2 linked regions of the Schizosaccharomyces pombe genome follow. The protein of the gene in region 1 interacts with the protein of each later gene in a pairwise test. Each region holds a gene or a part of one and is shown on either strand. Other genes may lie near its edges.

Region 1 (5,290 bases):
GACAAATACAAATTCCTTAAGGCTTCAGCGTCCATGTCTATGTAAAGAATACGTTCTCATGAATTAATCATACAGGTATAAATTAAAAGGAGGAAGTATTAAAGTGAGGGAATCTTTAAAAAAAAATTTTAATTTAACATGTGTTTTTGCAATGTTGAAATAAAAGCAACTGCACAGCTGTAATTTATTGTTTTTTGATCTATATCGAAGGTTGGGCGTTCACTACTTGTCACTTCAACAGGTACTATTTTCTACCGCTATTTTAGATGCCACCATTCTAAGTATACGGAAAAGGAAATTATATGAGCATTTTTTATTTTTGAAATTTGATAAGCATTAAGGAAAGTATGCATGTAGTAAAGCAATATTTTAGATAAACTAACAAGATAAAGCGTCTTTAGTATTGGATTAAATGTATGCAGCATGTTACTTGTGGTCACATTAAATGTAAGAAATAATGTATACATAAATGAAGTAAATGTATAGAAGAAAGCGTTTCCGGCTTCCAATATCTAATTGTTTAATGAATCAACAGGTAGTTTGCAAAATTGCCTTTACCAAATTGGCTGTATATAATATACGTGATCGATATTGTAGCTGGTTCATATGAACCAATTTATTACTGCGACATGATATTGTATTACCAAATCTGCGTTGATTCAGCTGATTAAGACGTTGTCAAGAAATGTTGAACTTCTCGCAATAAAAACGTTTTTATTTTACTACTTAGGCTTACCTTTATCCCCTTTTGAAATACGTCAAATACATATATGTTTGGAGGAACAGTATCAAACAACTAATGAAAATATTCAATTGAATGATTGTGAACAAAAAGGGAGTGCATAGTTGAGATTTTTTGTTTATTTTACCTCCAAGAAAGCTAATATATAAGGAGAATAAACATTTTGCATCTTATTCGGTCGTGATTAAATACTATCCAAAAACGCATACCTCTCGAAAAAACAGACAGATATATTAGAAAGATAAAGAAAGCTATTATACCGATGAAATTAAATTAATAAAAGTAAACCATGAAAGAACGAAACGAAAAAAAAATAAAATGCAAGAACGTAATAAGAAACCCAAATCTTTAAATATACATAGTCTCAAAACCTCCGTCTTTCTGCAAAAAGTAAAACTCCTGATTCTTGAGAACATGCCTTCCGTAAATCGTCAACATTATTAAGAGGTAATACTTTATTCGCGTTCGTATCTCTGTATGACAAATGTTCACATTCTCCGAGTTTATTAGTCAATCGTTCACAAAAATCTTCAAATGAGATATCAGAGGGAACGCGCAAAGCAAAGGTTTCATCTCCTAATCTGACTTTAACTTTGCATGTCGAACCTGCAGTAGTCGGAGCTGATTCGGGAATAGAGATATTAGTAGCTTTTTCAGGAGCTTTCTCTGGCAAAGAGAAACTTAACGGTTCTCTGGGTAAGGCTTCAGGCATCGTACTAGTTGGATGAGGGGACTCAACGTCTCCGTCAAGCGGTAAGAAGAAAAGTTTGACGAGTTCATTTTCGAGTAAACGAGCTGGAAGCCTGCACATTTCCTTCAGATATACATCTAAATCCATTGCCCTTTGTGAAGATATTAATTCATTAACGTCATCAACTGGACCGGGCATGTAAGGAATAACTCGTCTTTCGTCCCCACGACCAGCTTCATTAGGAAATAACTCTAAAAACTTCGTCTGGAAATTAAAAAAGTCTTCGTAATATCTACAAAGGTTTCGATGTTTTCCATCACTCATAACGGCACGGACCAAATACCAATATTGGTCATCGCGAATCATGTAGTTTTCCACCATTGCAGCAACAACGGTAGGTTCAGAAGACATGTCTTTCTTGTTCTTAGAAGCGATGCTAGCCGTACGCGACTCCAATGTTTGCAGAGGTGTTAATTCGTTAGCGACGGAACCAGGAAAAGTGCTTGAATTGTCAGTAGCAGCTTGATATGTAACATCGTTATTAATTTGTAAATTTTCAGTGCTTGGACTTAAGCTAGGCATAGTTTGAGTTTCACCATCACTGAATTTCCCTAAAGGAATACTACTCTTTTTATAATCAGCAGCCGCACGTTTCCAATCCTCTACACGAGGTATGCAAGAAATACGTAAAACAGCCTCACTAACGTCTTTTATCACAGCTCCGGTTTTTAAATCTCGAAGTTGTATAAATGAAAGAGGAATGAGACCTGGACCCCCTAATCGTCCTATAGGTTTGGCTACTAACCACTCATGATTTGACCGAGCAATAATTATAATAGCCTCACCCGCCTTGGCTTCAAGTTCATCTGGTCGTTCAGCAGCAAAATCGAATTGCACAATTCCAAATAGCGGCTGTGAACCAGAATGGAGTTCACTGATTGAGCTCCTAGTGGTACTAGAATTGGTGGTTAAGTCTGTAAATGATATTTGCCCGCTGCCATCACTGTCTCGTTCCGATTTGACCGTTTTTCCTATCTCTTCAAAATGAGATACTGGAACAAAGCCACGAGTACCTGCAGCGGGATTACAAACTTCGTACCAAGCCTTGTCATTTTCACGACCTATAACATGAAAAAAGTCACCCTTGGCAAATGAAACTTCAGTTGCTTTACGAGCTGTGTAATCATAAAGGGCCCTAATAACTTTTCTCGGGGGTTCAATTGAAAAAGGATCTTTATCAAGAATTCGACTATGAGTTTTCCAAGTCCTTTTAATCTAGAGATGGTTAATAATTGATTAATTAACAAAAAATTTTTTTTGAAGCATACCTTTAACATAGAGACTGGAATTAGAACAAAAAGAAAGAAGGTAGTAGAACAAAATTTGAAATTATATTACAATAATCTCAGAAAGATTCTAACTATTAGAATTCCCTGCAACAAAAAGATTTAACTTAATTTTCATAAAACGATCAAGTGGAAATTATAATTACAGACAAACTGTTAAAGCGATAACCTACTGTAAGGGTATATGAATTAAGATCCGAGATAGCAAAAGGAATGTATGAAGAAAAGGCAAAAAGAATGGCACGGATTTAAAGAAAGCAATATATTGTAAATGAATCAATAATTAATTTCCAAACACTTTGAAAACGCTGTCGTTTTTATGAAAGATGAGTATACAGGATATAATATTCTCACAAAACAGACAAAATCGATTTGTTAGCACGTTGTAATTAGAAAGAACGAAGAAGCTAGCAGACACTCAATTATAGTGACTGAACTGCTGAGCCCTGAAAGATAGATGAAGGAAGAAAAGGACGGGAAAAGAGGCTTAATATAGAACAATGAGAGTTGGTCCAAGCAGCAAAGTAATATATTAGAAGAATACAAACTCAACAATTTTAAACAAGGAAACGTATTAAAATTTTTCCCAACTGACTCTCTTATTAATTTCCCTCTTACCAAGTATAAAATTACAGATCTACAACTTCTATGTTCAAGTTACCTTTCAGTTAATTCTGGAAGTGAATTTTGTCGCGTAGCATTGTAGTTCACTATCGTAATTATATTATAATGAGTATTAAACAGTTTAAAGGATTACGCGCTATTAGCGTTCGCTATGAAAAATAGATTCCGTAGTTACCCAAATATAATGTATACATTTGCTTTACAGAGCTTAACTTAGCAATGGTATAGAAGGAAGAAACAAACGTTCGTTAGTGCCGTTAAAATATTAAGACATAATTTTGGTTGAATTGATACAGAGTATCTTTTTTTGCACATAAAACTAATTTATTGTGGAAAAGAATCCACAATAGTGGACGATTTTCCAAGAAGATGATGCCCTTACTCTACGCTAAGCAAAAATAGCTGTTGAAAATAAATCAATTTATGATTTCATTATTATTCATAACAATCATATCTTAAGAGTTGAGTTGTAAGTAAGAATGCTCTGTAAAAAAGTAGCAATGTAGTAGGATCAAGACATCAGGGCGATTCGTTGGTCCATAATAGTATTGTTTTCTCGACTGATGCTTCGAAAAACAATAAGACGAGGCGGACATTGCTTTATGGATGAAATATTTCGTCAAGGCCAGAACTACAGTCCGTAAATCTCATATAGATTACTTCGAAGCACATTTGCAAGAAGAGCACTTGCAGTTATCAACAGCGCTGCTCTTGCAACCACAAGACTCTTTGCAATCTTGGCAACCGCACTTGGATTGGCAGTCGCAAGGCTTGCCTTGTTTGCTCTTACATTGGGTAGTGTGTTCCATCGTTGAAAGTTTGTTAGGGTGATATGAGTTGTTGAAAGTCGATTGTCTCAAGCACGCTTAAAGTGGTAAAAAAGGTGAGAGTAGGGTGCCTTTATATACATTTTCCAAGCTAAAGGATTGACAGTATCATGTCATGTCGATATAGGATCTGCAGGGATATTTGGAGAGGCAAATGCATATACGTATTTAGATGTTTGTACACAAATCATGCTGTTGTTTCATGGAACCAAACAAATGAAGTGATTGGACTTTACAAAGCAAATGAACATAAATTTATGAATAATAGAAAACAATCTCATATTAAGAATGGGTTAGTTGTATCATATTCAATATTATATCCAGTTGGTAAAGGTAGATCTCTGCGTAGTACTGGTGTTGTTTTGATTCTGGGTCCTGTTAAGGAATATTAACACTTTACATCATCTGATACTCGGGTTCCGTTCGTATCGCCACAATAGTTCCCGCCAAAAGGTAGGTGCCGCAATGGCTTTACTCCAAGATTCTAAATTCATACAGACTAGCTATGCCTTCCAACTGAATAAATATCAGACTTGAGGGCATATATGAGGAGGGTGTGGCAGAATTCACTTTTGTCCGTCAAATTCACTATTAACATTGGTTATAAAATACGCAAAAGTAAGTCTTTACGAGTTTAGTAAAAGCTGAAACTGATAGTTCTACAGTTTTCCTACTTTCTAGAATTCTCTGTTTCTGCAAACTTTAACTTAAAATTACATTGAAAACATTGGTTAAATTCGTTTGTTTACATTTATTTCTAAGCATAAAGTTTTTGGATTTATGCATCTTATCTATGTTTATGTACTCCTTTATCAGTAGATTTTATATTGACAGATAGATTGAGTATATAGTTGTTTACATGTTTAATCGCGTGGTGAAGCTTCTAGCAAAATAAAACATCGAGCGTTTATTAATAGTGAATAGAAATTAGGCATAAGAACAACTGAGGCATTGCACAACTTATAAATGTCTACGCGGAAGCTCATCACGAACTTTTGGTATTAGTTATTCGTTACGCTAGTATTATACTCTCTTTTCCATGTTTATTTCTTTCGCTTGA
Region 2 (5,225 bases), 2.2 Mb from region 1:
AACTCTGCAATATGCAAACTGAATGAATTGGAGCCAGAGGTATGCTGAAAGCAAGTAAGGATTACGAGTTAACAGCTACATAGATTTTGGACACAAATTCAGAACTTCTGTTTGAATTATTACGATTGAGATTGCTTGAATTGATACGAGAAGTTGTTGAAGAGAAAGATACCTCTGATTTAGCGGTAGAAAGATGTTTAAACTTTGCACATGAAAATTTAGCACCTTTAGCACCCTCAAATCAAAAGTTTTTGAATTCTTTAGAGTTGACAATGTCGCTTTTATGTTTTCCTCCTTCTTCCTACAGCCCTGCCTTGAAAAATGTTTTGAATTACAGCCAACGTGAGCGTGTTGCAAACCTTGCCAACGTTAGTATATTGAAGTCTCAAGGATTATCAAATGAGTCTAGGTTGTTGTCTTTGGTAAATTTTGAGCGCTGGTGTGAAAAAGAGGCACAAAGGAATTCGATTGAAGTGCAGAAATTTGTGCCCAAAGCATCCATAAAATGATTACTTTTTACGACCTTCCTCAGTTTATGCATTTATGTCTGTTACATCCATTTAACATAAGAACTTTTTTCGTATTGTTCTCACTAATGATAATTAAATTATTGAACTCACAAATGATAATATGACATTCAATTAACAAAGCCAATTTTTGTTGTTAAGCAACATCGTATAGTATCAAGTTACTGACAAGCAAAGCAAACACAACTTTTCCTTTTAAAAGTAAGGAGGGAATTTAATGGGTTATTAAATTAGCAATATTTTTTCTATGGCGAATAATTTGATTTTCTTCATTGGTAATCATAGATAACTGTAGCGAGATGCCTTTCGTTCTCGCAAATTAAGATTGTTTAGGCTAAAAAAAAAGGTTAGAATTGGATATAAACAAAAGTGTTCCAAAACTGAAAACTTACCAAATTTCAAAATTGAGCGTTTGTCGCTTTTCCAAAAAACTAGAAGTTTCCAACAACATATTGATATTAGGGCCTTGTAATGTTTCGGCTTGCAAGGTTTGTAAAAGGAATTCCTTAAATTCTTGGCTAATTAATCCACGAACTCGGTTGACTAAAACATTTGCATTCGGAGTTAGTTGGATGGATTGAATAGATTTACGAAAAAAGTTTGGCTGACCTTGAAAAATTTCAAGAGCAACTAAGCCCAAGCTTTTAACATCCTTCATAAATCCTTCTTTATAATTCTTTTCAATTAACCAGTCAGGAACATGAGATACTGCTCCACGGTTAGTCTGTCTTTCAATGTATGGCGAAGAAAATGCATAATTGCCAATTTTAAGGCAACTGCTTTTCGTGAGATATATGCATTCGGTAGTAAGGTTATGATGAGCTATCCCACTATTATGAAGAAATGCAAGACCAGAACTTATCTCATAACATATGGAAGCTATGTTTAACTCACTAAAAAAATATTTGGGGATTAAAGCTGACAACTTGGTGCTTGGGTCTTTATATTCAAAGACCGACCAAATATTGTTCAGATACCAAAAACTCTCGTTATAACGAATTAAATTTTTGTGAGAGAGACCAGATAATCGCTGCAATTCTTCGAGTAAAAGCCTCCTATGAGTTACAGCTGAAATGTCAAACCGTTTAATTACAACCACTTCTTTATCCAGAGTTTGACGAGCAACGTAGGTTCCAACTGTATCTTGTTGGCATATTTTGGTAAAGTCGGTATAGAAGAACAATGGATCTTTTTGTGTGCAAAGGCAGTCTACTATCTGTAGGTAATACTTTTCTCGTGCAACGAAACGCATTAGATCATCAGAATATGAAACTTTATGCATAGCTGCAGCAGGGATTGAACTACTTGGATGACCGACAGCAGATTGTGAAAGTTTTGGGCTTTGTGGACTAGGCTTGGCAGGACTAATACTAATTGGAGACATAGGAACTGGAGTAGAGACAGATCGAGATAAAGGATACGAAGAAACATCGCCTTGTTGTATTGTCGTTGCGGAATGCCCATCGTCCAGACTTTCAGCAGTAGAAGCACTGCTAAAATGCGAAGCTACTGACACAAACCCATCTATGGATTGTGTATCTACGTTGTGTAGTAATGGAGCATCATAAGCGGAAGGTGAAATGCTATCTCTGTTACCATTTGAGTTTTCCTGTATGGACGACCGATAGTTAGTAGTATTAGGACGAATCGAGATGTTGAAATTATCGGGTACTAAATTTCGGCAATTCATTGAGGAAGTAGAAGATGAAAGTCTGTTGGTTGAAACTTCATCAGGCGTAGTGGGGACTGGGGGAGAACTTAATGCTTGGGAATTAAGAACAGTTGGAAGACTGCTCGGACTATGATTATAGGAGTAAGACTTATATAGATGAATGGGGAGGGAAATAGGAGCTGATTCACTTCTGAGGTGTAAAGATATTGATCGAGAAAGAGTAGAAGATTTTTTAGAATTTCTACGAGATAACGATGGTAGTCCATGTAAACTCCTGCGTCTATACATGTCTTCTTTTGAAGATCGTGATCTATTTAGTCGTTTAGGACTGCCTGAATCATCAGATGAATGCCAGACTTCCGATTGTCCATTCGATTTTTGGTTTTGCAAATGGAAAGGAGGACTACGAGTACTATTACCAGACCCATGAATTAATGAAAGGAAGTGACCACTCAGACGACGAGCATAGTATCCAAACTTCTTTTTTGGTGGTTCTGGGGCAGGTCGCGAAGGCTGCAAGTCAATTATAGAGTCATTAGGAAAAGAAGAAACTAAATGATCCTCAGAAGCTCTACAGGCAGACGAAGACGCATTGCTTTGGCAGGCATTATTGTGAAAGTGGCTTTTTGCGTGATGTTCATGGAATGTAGAATTGGAAAGCATACAAAAAAAAGTAAATCAACAAAGAAGAAAAAAGAGAAAGCGACCATAAAATACAAACTTTTCGAACATGAAAAGCGAGAATGATAAACAGAAGTAGACAATCGAACTAACACCCAAACAAAAAGAACGAATAATTGGAGTGTAATTCGAGGAAATTGTTTGATAAATAAAGCTATTACTTCCCTTTTGTTAATTAAAATACAAAAGCAAGTCCAATTTTTCAACAATCAAGATGGATATACTTTACAATAGCTGTTAGGTTTGTACCAAAACTGATAAGTGTAGTGTTACTCTCAAGGTAACGTCCGTAGGTAACGAAAAATTCCTGAAATTCTTAAGAAGATATAGAAAGAAGGTAAATCAATATTATTGTTGATTAGAAATAAAGGATTTTTGATGTATTCGGGTATTGCTCATAGATGCTTATCTTTGAAAGTTAAAGAGTTCAGAAGATTCGATAAATTTCCCGCTTATTAAATGATCCCAACGGATGCCTGCGCCAGCATCTCCTTGAAGTAATTAAATATCCAACATGGAATATTGAGAACTGTTAGTGATGAACAGCAAAAGTAAGATGAGAGTTCATTTGGTGTCCGCGACCTGGTCGAAGTTAGTATGAACATTTGTAAACAATATATCCTTAATTATACAAACTACAGTTGAACTTTACCTTGGAAGCAAATTGAATCCACTCAAGGACTCCTCGTTTCCATTGATCTTTTTCTGAGCTCCTCATATTGTCACGATTCCACAACATGACTTTTTCGAACGTTGAATTGATACACCAGGTGGATTCAGGGATTTCCTTTTCTGAGGTTTCGTCATTCTCTAGTCCATCATCGCATAGTACAACTTGCCCTGTATAGTTTTCTGGAAGATCTAGTTCTTCTCCATTTAATTCGCGTCCACGCAAACATACTGTTGTTTTCGAATGCGTATTGTTCGAAATTTGGATTTTGTCATGAAAATACTCGAAAACGGGCGCAGGGCCGTCGTAAGATATATGGCAAGGAAGCAAAGAAGCTTTCTCTAAGTTTGAGCTTCCTGCTTGCTCCAATTTGACAATAGGTTTGACTGAATCCATTGTGCTCTAAGAAGGCTATCCCTTTTCAAACACACTAGTCTGACATTTTCTGAATCTAACTTACAGAGTCCACCGAGTAATGCGAAACTGTAGGTAAAATTTCCAACGATGCCTTAACTAAATTTAACAATATATCTCCTCGTTAAAACGAATACGAGAATCGTAAGAGTAAATAAATCAAGAGTATGCGAATGTATATAATAGTAATATTGGAAAAGAAGAAAGTAATAGTTGCTTTTTTTCTTTTCTTTATTAATTTAGTAGAATGGGGAAGGATGAGTCTGGCCAACGGGGATGGAAGTTTAGTCAGATAGTCTATTTATAGTTTATTTGAGATTCTTTGTTCCGAAAACACTTCCATTATTTCTTGACTAAATATAAATTAGAAAGTGATAGCTGCGTAATTTTTAGTAATTACTTTAATAATACTGAGGATATCTTATGAATGATAAGTGAGAGAATCGCAATAATACATACGAATTTTAGTGTTGTAGTCTAGATTTAAGCATTTATAAGAAAAGTTGTAGAGATAATTAAAGGATTTGCTACTCTATTCTACCTTCTTTTTAATGTTAACAAAAGACGGCTTGTATTAAACCAATAGTGGACATCATAAATAGTTTGTCGTAACAATTTGAATATAGTATAAAAAATCAGACATGAGAAAATTGCATAAAATTTCATTAAAACAATATCAAATAAAACTTTTTGAATCCAATCCATTTTATGAGATTAGTAGCTCCAGTTCAGTCAAGTCGAAGTTGCATCTAAACAGTCCAAATTGATTCACAAAAGTTATAATTATTTATAATCATGAGTTTCATGATGCATTCTTCTTTAACAAGTGAGGCTTGCGTTCAAGTAAATCTAAAATCAACTCGGCAAATAATGAATTAGCCCATGAAAACCAGGGTCGAGTAAAGCTTTTAAAACTCGAAACATCAACAGACTCATGCATTAAGCCTAAACCAGCAGTTGAATGCTTTAAAACATCAAGCAAAGACATGATTTCATCGTCGTCATCAGAAGTCAGGGCTTGAACAATGAGACTCATGGGCCAAACGTTCCTCAAACCAATGTGAGGACCACCAATACCGGAGATAACTTTTCCCTTAAGGTAGTAAGGATTTCCTTCTGAAGATAAAATCATCTTCCTCGTATTAACATATACAGGGTCATCACGTTCTACAAATCCAAGATAAGGTAAAGACAATAGAGAAGGAACATTGGCGTCATCCATAAATAAAATGCTGCCATAACCATCTACTTCATACGCATA

The links.
Region 2: the proteins of scd2 (region 1) and tea5 interact in a two-hybrid assay, tested with the Schizosaccharomyces pombe proteins (one study listed by BioGRID).

Annotation. Positions count from the first base shown.
Region 1 is NC_003424.3:2,380,652-2,385,941, reverse strand, and holds scd2 (Cdc42 GTPase complex scaffold subunit Scd2), read right to left. Parts: upstream 3,439-5,290; 5' UTR 2,771-3,438; coding exon 2,762-2,770; exon of another isoform or gene 2,709-2,761; coding exon 1,107-2,708; 3' UTR 789-1,106; downstream 1-788. Other genes in the region: SPOM_SPAC22H10.08 (uncharacterized protein), read right to left, coding at 1-35; metallothionein Zym1, read right to left, coding at 4,060-4,212; SPOM_SPAC22H10.06C (uncharacterized protein), read left to right, coding at 4,341-4,622. UniProt on the Schizosaccharomyces pombe protein: Required for mating and morphogenesis. Interacts directly with scd1 and with cdc42. May bridge and facilitate scd1 and cdc42 interactions.
Region 2 is NC_003424.3:4,596,761-4,601,985, forward strand, and holds tea5 (serine/threonine protein kinase Ppk2), read right to left. Parts: upstream 3,117-5,225; 5' UTR 2,863-3,116; coding exon 920-2,862; intron 862-919; coding exon 807-861; 3' UTR 706-806; downstream 1-705. Other genes in the region: gid8 (ubiquitin ligase complex subunit protein), read left to right, coding at 1-39, 84-509; rnh203 (ribonuclease H2 complex subunit), read right to left, coding at 3,503-3,946; protein mug157, read right to left, coding at 4,767-5,225.